Linked DNA regions of Saccharomyces cerevisiae S288C. Changing the gene in region 1 together with any one later gene gives a genetic interaction. Each region holds a gene or a part of one and is shown in the gene's direction. Other genes may lie near its edges.

Region 1 (3,567 bases):
CCTCTCCTGTAGTATCCAAAAGCATGGATCCATATATAAGACCAACTGAAAAGGCAGCGGTAAAACAATATTTCTCACAGTAGTTAACAAATCTTTTCCAATTACCAGCATGAAGAATGTCTATTCTATTCGATCTCCATGAGTGGTATAAAAGCTCATGTAACGACGCATGTGCTTTTTTACATTTTTCACTGCACCAAATAGCTTTGCAAACTTCACAATCCAAATAATGGACCATAATTTTGTGCTGGGTCAAATCATATAGCGCCTTACCACATCGAGCACATGCCTTTCCATTAGATATTAAAAAAAGCTTGTCCAGTGGTGGAATATATACGATAGGTTTATTTTCTTTCAGGATGATTTGGCCCTTGGAAAAATCTCTTTTAGCGAAAAGGCCCCTTCCATGTTCGTCATCAATAAATTTCACTTCGACCTTAGCATCAGAATCTAGGGCTTTTGGAAAATGTATTTTATCTTTATATAGAGAAACGGTCTCTAGATCTGTGTCATAAAGATGGTGCTCATTTAGAATTTTTCGAAAACGAGAAGCACTCAATTTCCACGATTGATTTCTTTCCGTAATCCTGTCATAAAGATGCTGAATCGTAGCGTCTTCAGTTCCGGGCTCTTCCTTCCATAACAAAACTACGTCATCACAGATCTCTTCCTCTGTGGGAGTTATCTTTCGAAAATCAGAGCCATTTTCTGTACCATTATGCACTGCAGATTGATCGCTATCGTTTAAGGTTCCTATTTTGATAGTCAATGTCATTTTTGTGCCACTTTTCGTTATTTTGTATCAGTGCACGCTTGGTTATTTACCTATTTAGCTTCTATTGTTATATGGAGAAGTTCCCCATGATTATGATATCAAGAAAGAAAAAGAAAAAGAAAAATAATACGAAAAAAAAAATTACGAAGCTAAAATAAAAAAAATTACGGCAAGGAAAGGGTTTACTGATAAAATTTGTTATCATTCTTGCTAGTCAGTAAGAGCATATCTGCTCAAGTAGACAAGGGAAACTATCGCAGGTGGTCCGGAAAGTACTTGACAATCAAATGCTCGTCTGAAAGCCAATGAGGAAAACTTGTAGACTGTACTAATTTTTCAAGAGAAAGAAAGATACCGTATGTTTGACTATTCTAACGAGATTTATGCTACAAACTCCTCGAGAAGCAAACTGAGGTAGAATTACCCACCCACAGCGCGATAAGTCACATTGGCGCCCTGGACTTGACGAATACTCCTATCAATAGTAAGGCTCGCAAACCGCCCGTCCATATCAAGCCATTAAATTCTGTTATTATCCTTAAAAGTGAAATGCGCACCACAAGCTTGATGGCATTTCCTTCTGCACTTCTCAAATTGATAGCATTGCCTTGCGAGCAGTAGATAATTTAGATAAAGTGTATCTTGCCAGGGCCTTCCCAGGCATTAACTAGATAATGTGTTCTTTTTTAGCTGAACTGTAAAGCGTAAATGTTAACGCTGGATAAGTACCGCGTGTACGGTTGATTGAATGATCTTACTGATAGAGGCCAGGCGGTTGATACTTTGTGCAGATTTCATACCGGCTGTCGCTATTATTACTGATGAATTGGCTCTCTTTTTGTTTAATGGCCCATCCGATCCATATTGCCTTCTTATGACTCAAAATTCTATTGTGTTTGCCGGTACCGGCCTTTAAGCTTTGAAAAAAAAAAAGCATCTGAAAAAAATGGCACTATAAAGAGAGCTAGTGGTAACAACTACATGTTTTCGTTAGAATAAATCACCCTATAAACGCAAAATCAGCTAGAACCTTAGCATACTAAAACATGTTGCAGAGACATTCCTTGAAGTTGGGGAAATTCTCCATCAGAACACTCGCTACTGGTGCCCCATTAGATGCATCCAAACTAAAAATTACTAGAAACCCAAATCCATCCAAGCCAAGACCAAATGAAGAATTAGTGTTCGGCCAGACATTCACCGATCATATGTTGACCATTCCTTGGTCAGCCAAAGAAGGGTGGGGCACTCCACACATCAAGCCTTACGGTAATCTTTCTCTTGACCCATCTGCTTGTGTATTCCATTATGCATTTGAATTATTTGAAGGTTTGAAAGCCTACAGAACTCCTCAAAATACTATCACCATGTTCCGTCCGGATAAGAACATGGCCCGTATGAACAAGTCTGCCGCTAGAATTTGTTTGCCAACTTTCGAATCTGAAGAATTGATCAAACTTACCGGGAAATTGATCGAACAAGATAAACACTTGGTTCCTCAAGGTAATGGTTACTCATTATACATCAGACCAACAATGATTGGTACATCCAAGGGTTTAGGTGTTGGCACTCCCTCCGAGGCTCTTCTTTATGTTATTACTTCTCCAGTCGGTCCTTATTATAAGACTGGTTTCAAAGCCGTACGTCTTGAAGCAACAGACTATGCTACAAGAGCTTGGCCAGGTGGTGTTGGCGACAAAAAATTGGGTGCTAACTATGCCCCATGCATCTTACCTCAACTACAAGCTGCCAAAAGAGGGTACCAACAAAATCTATGGTTGTTCGGCCCAGAAAAGAACATCACTGAGGTTGGTACTATGAACGTGTTCTTCGTTTTCCTCAACAAAGTCACTGGCAAGAAGGAATTGGTTACCGCTCCATTAGATGGTACCATTTTAGAAGGTGTTACCAGAGACTCTGTTTTAACATTGGCTCGTGACAAACTAGATCCTCAAGAATGGGACATCAACGAGCGTTATTACACTATTACTGAAGTCGCCACTAGAGCAAAACAAGGTGAACTATTAGAAGCCTTCGGTTCTGGTACTGCTGCTGTCGTTTCACCTATCAAGGAAATTGGCTGGAACAACGAAGATATTCATGTTCCACTATTGCCTGGTGAACAATGTGGTGCATTGACCAAGCAAGTTGCTCAATGGATTGCTGATATCCAATACGGTAGAGTCAATTATGGTAACTGGTCAAAAACTGTTGCCGACTTGAACTAATGATAATGAAGGTAAACATCCCCTCCCCCCCCAAAAAAAAAAAACGAGAATTCCTCTCAGAGGATCTGTTTTTCTCTCACTTTATTCACATAGATACATACTTTTTTACAATTCCTGTTGAGTTTATTTATTATAAGAAATATTGGATTACTATTATTATTATAGCTTATGCAAGCCATTGTGCGGCTTCTTACGCTTTTTGAAATTGTTGACCTAACAACTTGGCACATTATTGAATTTCATAGAGACTGCTTGTAATTTAGTTGCCAAGGTATCTCGCTGGACTTTACATGTAAAATGAATGCGGCAAGATACCCAAGAGAGTTGATTATGCCAAAAAAAAAAAATCTATAAGGATATCCCTGGTATTTTCTGAAGAATAAATTCTAGCGTAGTTCAGAAGAGGTGCAAGTACAGTATGAATAATGGTATGCCTTCCATCATCGTGGCATACAGGTTCAGGCATGAAGAGATGATTATGTTCCCTCACCGGTCCATAATCCTGATTTAAACAGTTCATTAGTATATGTTCAGCCAACACAACAACGAGAAGCTTTGTAGTGA
Region 2 (5,525 bases), on another chromosome or scaffold:
TTTTTCAATTCCATGAAACGGAGCCAGTTGGAATGATTCTCTTCTATATAGGCAGGATCGTATTGATCTTCCAAATGGAGACCTCTGACGTCCATATATGCCATTCTTTGCGACCATTGACTTATCATTACATCGCCCCACTCTTCGTACACTTCGACGTTTTCAAGACGAATCGATTCTGCCAGTTTAGCCATTTCGGTAAGAAAAGAATCTAATGAATGAAACAGTGATTTTTCAAAGTCTAACAAATGTATTTTATAATTCTTCAGTATCGATGTGATAGATGATTTGGTAATGTAAGCTTCCAGTTCAACTTGACCCGATTCATCAAAATACTTTATTTTATTTTGCACAGGATCGAATTTAGAGGTACAATTAATATCTTTGATTTTTGAATCTAGAAACACTAATTGCTCATTAACGGTAGTGTTAAGGTCATCAAGATTCCTAGTGATTTCTATAGATTTATTTTGCACCTCGGCCTCGAACACAGACTGTATCTCTGAATCCAAAAGTGCCATCGCACTGTGTATTTTCGAATCTATAGCCTTAATCCATGCTTCATATTCCATTTTTAATGATTCTGCCTCGTAAGTTTCCAATTCTGCATGGCTATTGGAACCAATGATAATCTTTGACAAATCCTGCAAAATAGCAGCAGTGACGAGTTGTGAGTTCCCGTGGCCATCCTGTACTCCATCGAACTCGTATTCTTTATTTTCATCCTCAATTCCGACATCATCCTCATCCTCATCTTCATCCTCATCCTCATTTTCATTCTCATCATCCTCATAATCCTCTGTTTCCGAGTCTGTCTCAAAAATGGGTTTGGTGAGCGTGCCATCAGCGCTAAAGGAGCCGTATTTCATCCAATCCGTAGAGGAGTTAAATGGATTCTCTAGTACATTCTTCACATTGTCTGTATATGGCTTTAAATAGTACCAGGCAATCCTTAGATGATTTAATAAAGGTCCCAACTTGGAATGTAGCGAACAGCAGAGCTCATTTAGCCTTAGAAAAGAGAAAATATTGTACCAAAAGCGGTAAAAATATCCCATAATTCTCTTCAAGGATGAGTTGGGGTATCTTTCAATCAGTGGTTTTATCGATTGTGAGTACTTTCCAACTAAATAGTCAGAAACCGCTGAACCTTCAACCAATTTAGAATCGAATAGTGAGCCAACTGAAAATTCAGTATGCCGGCAAATGGGCTGTAAATCTGTGGCAAAGCTTCCCAGACCATTTTGCTGACAGACCAGATACCTTGCAATAAACACGCAAGCCAGCAAAGCAGTCGTTACTTTGAAAACGGCCTTCATGATTTTTAGTAAAGAACTAACCACCTTTTTCTTAGTTAAGAAAAGGTCAATCAGTAACAGAAATATGATAGTAGCAACACCCAAAAAAATGCTATCTTCCAATAGTCAAAAAGGAAGCCTCGATGCCATACAAGTCTCTTCTAAAGTACTATTATGTAATTCCTGTTAAATGATACCTGTATTGTGGCTTAAAAGGGCCGAAATGACAACAAAATGAGTAGGGTTAATTTAATTTTTAAAGAGGGCATTTATCTAAAAAATGAAAGACAACTATAGGGCTGGTAATTATAGAATAGGTCTTAGTAGGGTTATCCCTTCCTCTAGAAAAAAAGAAAGAAAAATAATTTTAAGTGGCCAATTAGAACCAAAACCAACAGTATCGTGGTATCATACGCTCCAAAGCAACTAGAAGAAAGGCCTTATTTGACCATTGGATTCAGTATTTTTTCTCCAAGTAGCGGTTAAAAGACTGAGAGACTAAAGCTAGATAGTGGGTTTGAGTGACTATCCCCTTTTTTCCTCCTCTTTTTTTATTATTTTGATTTTATTTCATTTTGATTTTATTTCAACACGATTAAGACACAAGCGTTACTTCCCTAGACTATAGTCTCTGCCGTTCCCATTCTATTGATTTTTGGAGCAGCAGTTTTTACAAAAGAAAAGAAAAAAAAGACGAAAACAACAAGCCAGAGTAAAGATGTCGTTTTGGCCATTTGGACAGAATCTTAATCACTCTAATATTAATAAGATCCTAGATGAATATTTTCATGTGCTACACGAACTGGAAAGGATTAACCCAAGCGTTGGTAAAGCCATTCCCGCTATTTTCAACAACGTTCAGGAACGAGGTACAAGTGACTCCCTAGATTCTATTCCGGAGGAGTATAGTCATGGTGATGAAGTGAAAACGGCACGTGGAGATCAGAAGAGTCGATTTGAGAAGGATGATCAGCAAGAACGGTATGAGAAAGAGGAAGAGGAACGGAGCATGAACTCTAGCGAATCTTCCACTACATCTTTTTCTTCTGGGTCAACTTCTAAAACTGATTTAGATGAGGAGGATATCAGCAATGCTACTGCTCCCATGATGGTCACCACAAAGAATTTGGATAACTCTTTTATTGAAAGAATGCTTGTAGAGACAGAGCTACTGAACGAATTATCGAGACAAAACAAGACGCTACTTGACTTCATTTGCTTTGGATTTTTCTTTGATAAGAAAACTAATAAGAAAGTGAATAATATGGAATATCTGGTCGACCAACTGATGGAATGTATCTCGAAGATTAAAACCGCCACCACAGTGGATTTGAATAACCTGATAGATTATCAAGAACAGCAACAGCTTGATGATAGCTCACAAGAGGACGTTTATGTGGAATCTGATACGGAGCAAGAAGAGGAGAAAGAGGACGATAATAACAGCAATAACAAGAAGAGACGAAAACGCGGAAGCTCCTCGTTTGGTAACGATGATATCAACAACAATGACGACGACGACGATGCGAATGAGGACGATGAATCTGCTTATTTGACAAAGGCCACCATAATATCTGAAATCTTTTCCTTAGACATATGGTTGATTAGCGAGTCATTAGTTAAAAACCAATCATACTTAAACAAGATTTGGTCTATCATCAACCAGCCAAATTTCAATTCTGAAAACTCTCCCTTGGTACCCATATTCTTAAAGATTAACCAAAATCTGTTGTTAACCAGGCAGGATCAATATTTAAATTTTATTCGAACGGAGAGAAGCTTTGTTGATGATATGTTAAAGCATGTTGATATTTCCCTATTGATGGATTTTTTCTTGAAAATAATATCCACAGATAAGATTGAATCACCCACGGGAATAATTGAATTAGTATATGATCAAAACTTGATCAGCAAATGCTTAAGCTTTCTAAATAACAAAGAGTCCCCAGCTGACATCCAAGCATGCGTGGGTGATTTCTTAAAGGCTCTGATTGCCATTTCTGCTAATGCACCCTTGGATGATATTTCCATTGGTCCAAACTCCTTGACGAGACAGCTAGCATCTCCCGAATCCATTGCAAAGCTAGTCGATATCATGATCAACCAAAGAGGTGCCGCATTAAATACCACAGTTTCGATTGTCATTGAGCTGATAAGGAAAAACAATTCAGACTACGATCAAGTTAATCTTTTAACCACTACTATAAAGACTCATCCACCTTCAAATAGAGATCCAATATATTTAGGCTATCTACTTCGGAAATTTTCAAACCATTTGTCCGATTTTTTCCAAATCATTCTAGATATTGAAAATGACGCCAACATCCCATTACATGAAAATCAGTTGCACGAAAAATTTAAACCTTTAGGATTTGAAAGATTCAAAGTGGTGGAATTAATCGCCGAGTTACTGCATTGCTCTAATATGGGATTAATGAATTCCAAAAGGGCAGAAAGAATAGCCAGAAGAAGAGATAAAGTAAGGAGCCAGTTATCCCATCATTTACAAGATGCATTAAACGATCTGAGTATCGAAGAAAAGGAGCAACTTAAAACGAAGCACTCTCCAACACGTGACACTGATCACGACCTAAAAAATAACAACGGTAAAATAGATAACGACAATAATGATAATGATGATGAAAGTGACTATGGCGACGAAATAGACGAGAGCTTCGAAATTCCATACATCAATATGAAGCAAAACATAAAACTTAGGACCGACCCCACGGTCGGGGACCTATTCAAAATCAAACTATATGATACGCGAATTGTTTCCAAAATAATGGAACTATTCTTAACACATCCTTGGAACAATTTTTGGCATAATGTTATATTCGACATAATTCAGCAAATCTTCAATGGAAGAATGGATTTTTCCTATAATTCCTTCCTTGTTTTGTCTCTGTTTAACTTAAAGAGCTCCTATCAATTTATGACTGATATCGTCATATCAGATGAAAAAGGAACGGATGTTTCCCGATTTTCTCCCGTTATTAGAGACCCAAATTTTGATTTCAAAATAACTACAGACTTCATATTAAGGGGCTACCAGGATTCATATAAATTTTATGAGCTAAGGAAAATGAATTTGGGATATATGGGCCATATTGTCTTGATTGCCGAAGAAGTGGTCAAATTTTCTAAATTGTACAAAGTGGAACTAATATCTCCCGATATTCAAGTAATTTTACAAACCGAAGAATGGCAATACTACTCCGAAGAAGTCTTAAACGAAACAAGAATGATGTACTCTAAAATTCTTGGCGGTGGAAGTTATATTGATGATGGAAATGGTAACATCATTCCGCAGCTGCCTGACAATACTACTGTATTAACTCCAAATGGTGATGCAAGTAATAATAATGAAATCCTTGATTCAGATACCGGGAGTAGTAATGGAACAAGTGGTGGCGGCCAATTAATCAATGTTGAGTCTCTAGAAGAACAGTTGTCCTTATCTACAGAATCTGATTTACACAACAAGTTAAGGGAAATGTTAATCAATAGGGCTCAAGAAGACGTTGATAATAAGAACACGGAAAATGGGGTTTTCATACTGGGGCCGCCGGAGGACAAGAACAGTAATAGTAACATTAACAATACCAACCATAATAGTAATAATAGTAATAACAACGATAATAACGATAATAATGATAATGACAATGATAATACTCGTAATTATAATGAAGATGCTGATAATGATAATGATTATGATCATGAATGATACATTGTTTTGTACTTTTCTTTAATTTGTATATATATATATTAATTTATATGTATAAGTACCATGTAGTTTTCTATTCATTCATTCATTCATCATGATAATATTACTTCTTACGTATCATTTACGTGAATAGATCACTTTACCGTTAGGCAATTCCATTTTCTTTTGGCCTTTCTTTGCAGAACCCTTTTTTACTTTGTTCCCCTTTTTTGTTTGGTTACCATCATACTTTTTACTATCCGTTATTATTTCTTCTTTTCCTGCGCTACCAACAGATTTGCCAAACGTCATGTTCCAAACCGAAGCAGGTATTCTCCAAAACAAACAGTTCTTTACTGAAGGTTTATCCAAGGTATCTGGCGAAATTAGTGTTTCACTTCCATCAGGCTCTACAACATAGACATCGCTAAACCTTACAACCAAACTTTTACCCTCATCCTTTTCATGTTGTTTAAACGTTAGTTGTTTTACGCCTAGTCCATTGGTATCATCCTGTTGTT
Region 3 (3,685 bases), on another chromosome or scaffold:
AGTACTTTCGCTATTGCTCACGGCACTCATATTTGATTCCTGGCGCATGCGGTTGGACTTGATATCATTCGTATTGATTGGGTTACCGATGGGCATGACAAAAGGACCTTACCAGGGTTATATAAGGATGATTTTGTACTGTGCTTAACAAATCCACTTTCAATTTCTGAAAACAAAGATCAAAAAGGTTTTTTTTTTTTATACAATTGTGAAGTATGTTTAATGAAAACAGCACAAAATGATATCTCTCTGCTTGCAATATAAAAAGCTATGGAAAAGGATTATCAACTATACTAGAAGGCTTACACACGCACAGGCACACACAACTAATGCAAAAGATAGTGGGGAAAAACTTCAAAAACTAACAAAAAGAAGTGTTAAAGATGAACTTTTTTCTTTTGTATCGTCGGCTTGCCACATTCGATAAGTTAATAAAACACAAACGGGCAACACATCTACGTACTTTTTATGTGAAGACAAGAGAAAGAATACATCACTGATACGTGCGTCTATTGCGCAGCACTGTACTATTGCGAAGAACTGAGTGAAGGCAAAGAATGAGATGATCGATGCTTAGCCGACTGTTAAACTTACTGAGCGGTAGCCTCTACTAGTTCCTTAGTCAGATCGCACTCAACTTGGAATGTTCCGTCAGGCCCACGGAAGAAAAAGCAACAAAAGAAAGAAAAACCGGACAACATGCGGGAAAAATGCAAACTGTGTGAGGGAAAAATTAACTTTAAAGATTACATCAACGGCGGGAAAAGATCCTTCCGCAGTCCTTCTACTGCGGTTTCCCTGCAGGCACAGCTAACCGGAGGGAAGACAAGTCAAGCGGACATGCAGTTCCCGCTCAGGCTTCTTTGCAGAGAAATCGGAATATGAATTTTTTGTGTTTTTTGTTAACTTCTTTACCATTCGCATCACGGGAAGAGTGTGTTGGCATAAGAGGCGCAAGAAAAAGGTGACCCACGGTGGTGGGAAAGAGAAGAAAAAGCCGTTTGCGGAAAGCAATGTTTTGCCCATTCAGAAACAATATCTTTGCTGTATCCCTACATGTATTATGCCGCGTTGCTTGTGCAGGTACGGAGTCCCTGCACGATTTTTCAACAAGGTCTAGATTTGCTAAGACGATGAGGCGGAGCCCGAAACAAACAAGCCAAAAACCGGAATTTCGCGCTTGGTGTGCTTTCGCATCTTTTCGTGTGGTGAATGCACCTGGTGCACGCTGCGAAGGTGACGTAGCAATCCAAAAAAGGGAAGTCTAGGCGCTTTCAACCGCCCCCCACCGTGCATGCGGATTGGTTGTCACAATTCGCAGACATATTGGCAATGTTTCCTCCCCTCCTGTTGATGCGGGTAAGGGGTGTCTGTTATGCAGGAACAGGAAGGTAAAAATTAAATGGGCCTTAATTCTGTAGACACTCTCTTGGGGTAATAAGGTTAAAAGCCATTGTTGAAGTACGGAATCATCTCTTCATTTTTTCAGCGCTTGTAAGGAATTAATCCCCAGGAAGGTGCCGATGTAATGAGAGAAGTATTCTTGTTGTATCTCTTTGGTTCGGAGTATTTCCTTCTTTCTTTTCTTTGTAGTTTTTATGCAAATGCAGGGAACAGAGTACCCGGTTAAGGCTGTTAGTCAGCCGCACTCTACACAAAATTACTTGGCAAACACGTTGGTTGGGAAAAGCTTTATACTTGGCGGTGTAGTAATTGTAAAGGATCAAGATTGTGTCATGCTAATGTGCCGCTGTGTAACAACCTTTTTGAAGCGCGTATTTACCACCGGCAAAAGGCCATTGTGTCACATAAAAAAAAACTCCCGCCAAAGCCAGGTTCATTTTGCATAAGATTCACCACAGTACGGAAAATACGATAAGTTAACCAGTAATTTGCTCGCTTTAGCTACTGATAAACCTTCTCTGTTAACACTATTATTTTTTTATTACTTTAGATTTTTCCGTTTGTGAATAGCCATTTTTAGATATATAATGGGGTTCAGAAAAATACTTGCTAGCAAATCGCATCACAGTCGCCACCATAATCAGCACCATAAGAACCTGAAGTTGCAAAATCATCGCTATGTACTTATTTCCAATATTACAGGATCCCATGAAACAAAATATTTATCACCCTTCAGGATGGACAATTGTTCAGGAAGCAGAAGACGTGATAGGCTACATGTGAAGCTTAAATCCTTGAGGAATAAAATCCACAAACAACTTCACCCAAACTGTCGGTTCGATGACGCCACTAAGACTAGTGATGATAAATGCGTCTCTTATGAGGTGCCCGAAAGGGATGGCCTTGCTACTATTTCGTTAGAAGAGGTTTTTCCAAAGTCCAACAGGTGCCAAATACCTGAAGAAAACTTGGGAGAAACAGATAGCGTTATTCACAGAGATTTGGGAAATTTTGCAAATGAGAATGACTATCCACAGTGGAGAAAAGTTGAAAGTCAATATAACTTAGAGAATGTCCAGCCTGAGGAGGATGAAATAGTTGATAGACTCAGGTCCGAGATTAGAAGCACTAAATTAAAATCTGTAAAAACGACAAGCAGAACACTTGAAAAAGCTATAGAGGCTCGATGTACTGGAAAGAGAGTTCTTCAACAACTAAGTTGTCAGAGCAACCAACTCACCAAGATCGAGAGCAATTGTGACATGCTTAAAATTCAATCTAACGTAGCCGACCGAAAGATTGACGAACTTGCCCATGAAAATAGAAGCCTGCTTGCATTAAAATCACCCAACCCCTTCAGGAAGAAAAGGGAGAGAGAAAAGCGAGACCAGATCTACAATTTGAAGTTAAAGCATCGTCACTTACAGCAAGAAACTATGAAAAGAGCCCAAGATTCTGACAAAAATTTAGCCATAAATCTAAGTTCTGAATATGGACGGTATGGCCAAGGGGTGGAAAGACAGCGTATTCTTAGAGATGCCCAGAAGTATCAGTTTGAAGCCGATGAAGAAGATAACCAAATGGAAATCGACTTGTACGGAAACCTAGAACAAATAAAAGCGGTGAGTGGTGACTTGAAAATTATGGCTCACGCTTTTGGCAGAGAGTTTGAAGCACAAAACACTAGAATGTTTGACATCGAGAACAATGTACAGCAGGCAGATAATGCTTTACAGGCCAAGCGATATAGATTGGAGAAAGTGATCGGGAAAAGATGGTGATCTGTTATACACACAAAATATCGTGTATAAATATATTGAATAAATAGTTTCTAAAAAGGCATACGCAGATATTCTTGCGAAAGAGAAAAAAAAAAGAGCGAGGGGGACATTAGTACTGAAGGTCTCAATTCTTCTTTGTATTTTCTTTCGGAGTTGTCAGACAAAGCTTTCTCTTTCCCATAAATAAAGTGCATTCAAACATCGGCAGGTTTGTTTTTCCCAGTTGTTACGTATTTGTTTCCCGTTCCATTCATGATCTTAAACTGGGTTAACTGAAAAATCAACATGATTTTGTGAAAAGTAAAAGAGGGTAAGAAAGATAGATACCGCTGTCGTGGGACTATATTTTTTACAGTACCAAGTCTACTTGCTTCTCATAAAGTTGATAAGTTATAATTCATATAATTTCATTTGTCAAAAAAGATTTTAGTTACAAAACGATATCAAAGTTCAATCTTGTTGGGAAAAAGGAAAACATTATGAAGGGTTTCCGGTAATCA

What was found.
Region 2: mutations in BAT1 (region 1) and SAP155 together harm fitness more than expected from each alone (negative genetic interaction), as found in Saccharomyces cerevisiae (2 studies listed by BioGRID).
Region 3: mutations in BAT1 (region 1) and SPO20 together harm fitness more than expected from each alone (negative genetic interaction), as found in Saccharomyces cerevisiae (2 studies listed by BioGRID).

Annotation. Positions count from the first base shown.
Region 1 is NC_001140.6:515,711-519,277, forward strand, and holds BAT1 (branched-chain-amino-acid transaminase BAT1), read left to right. Parts: upstream 1-1,821; coding exon 1,822-3,003; downstream 3,004-3,567. Other genes in the region: SET5 (S-adenosylmethionine-dependent methyltransferase), read right to left, coding at 1-775. UniProt on the Saccharomyces cerevisiae protein: Mitochondrial isozyme of branched-chain-amino-acid aminotransferase, involved in the biosynthesis of the branched chain amino acids (BCAAs) leucine, isoleucine, and valine.
Region 2 is NC_001138.5:232,226-237,750, forward strand, and holds SAP155 (Sap155p), read left to right. Parts: upstream 1-2,016; coding exon 2,017-5,025; downstream 5,026-5,525. Other genes in the region: OSW7 (Osw7p), read right to left, coding at 1-1,319; ERJ5 (Erj5p), read right to left, coding at 5,143-5,525. UniProt on the Saccharomyces cerevisiae protein: Positive regulator of protein phosphatase SIT4. Involved in directing expression of TOR-repressed genes and in dephosphorylation of NPR1 in response to nutrient starvation. Negatively modulates K(+) efflux of the cell by the Na(+)-K(+)/H(+) antiporter NHA1.
Region 3 is NC_001145.3:305,498-309,182, forward strand, and holds SPO20 (Spo20p), read left to right. Parts: upstream 1-1,991; coding exon 1,992-3,185; downstream 3,186-3,685. Other genes in the region: SOK2 (Sok2p), read right to left, coding at 1-96. UniProt on the Saccharomyces cerevisiae protein: Required to maintain the prospore membrane to the nucleus during sporulation in order to capture the daughter nuclei and form the spores.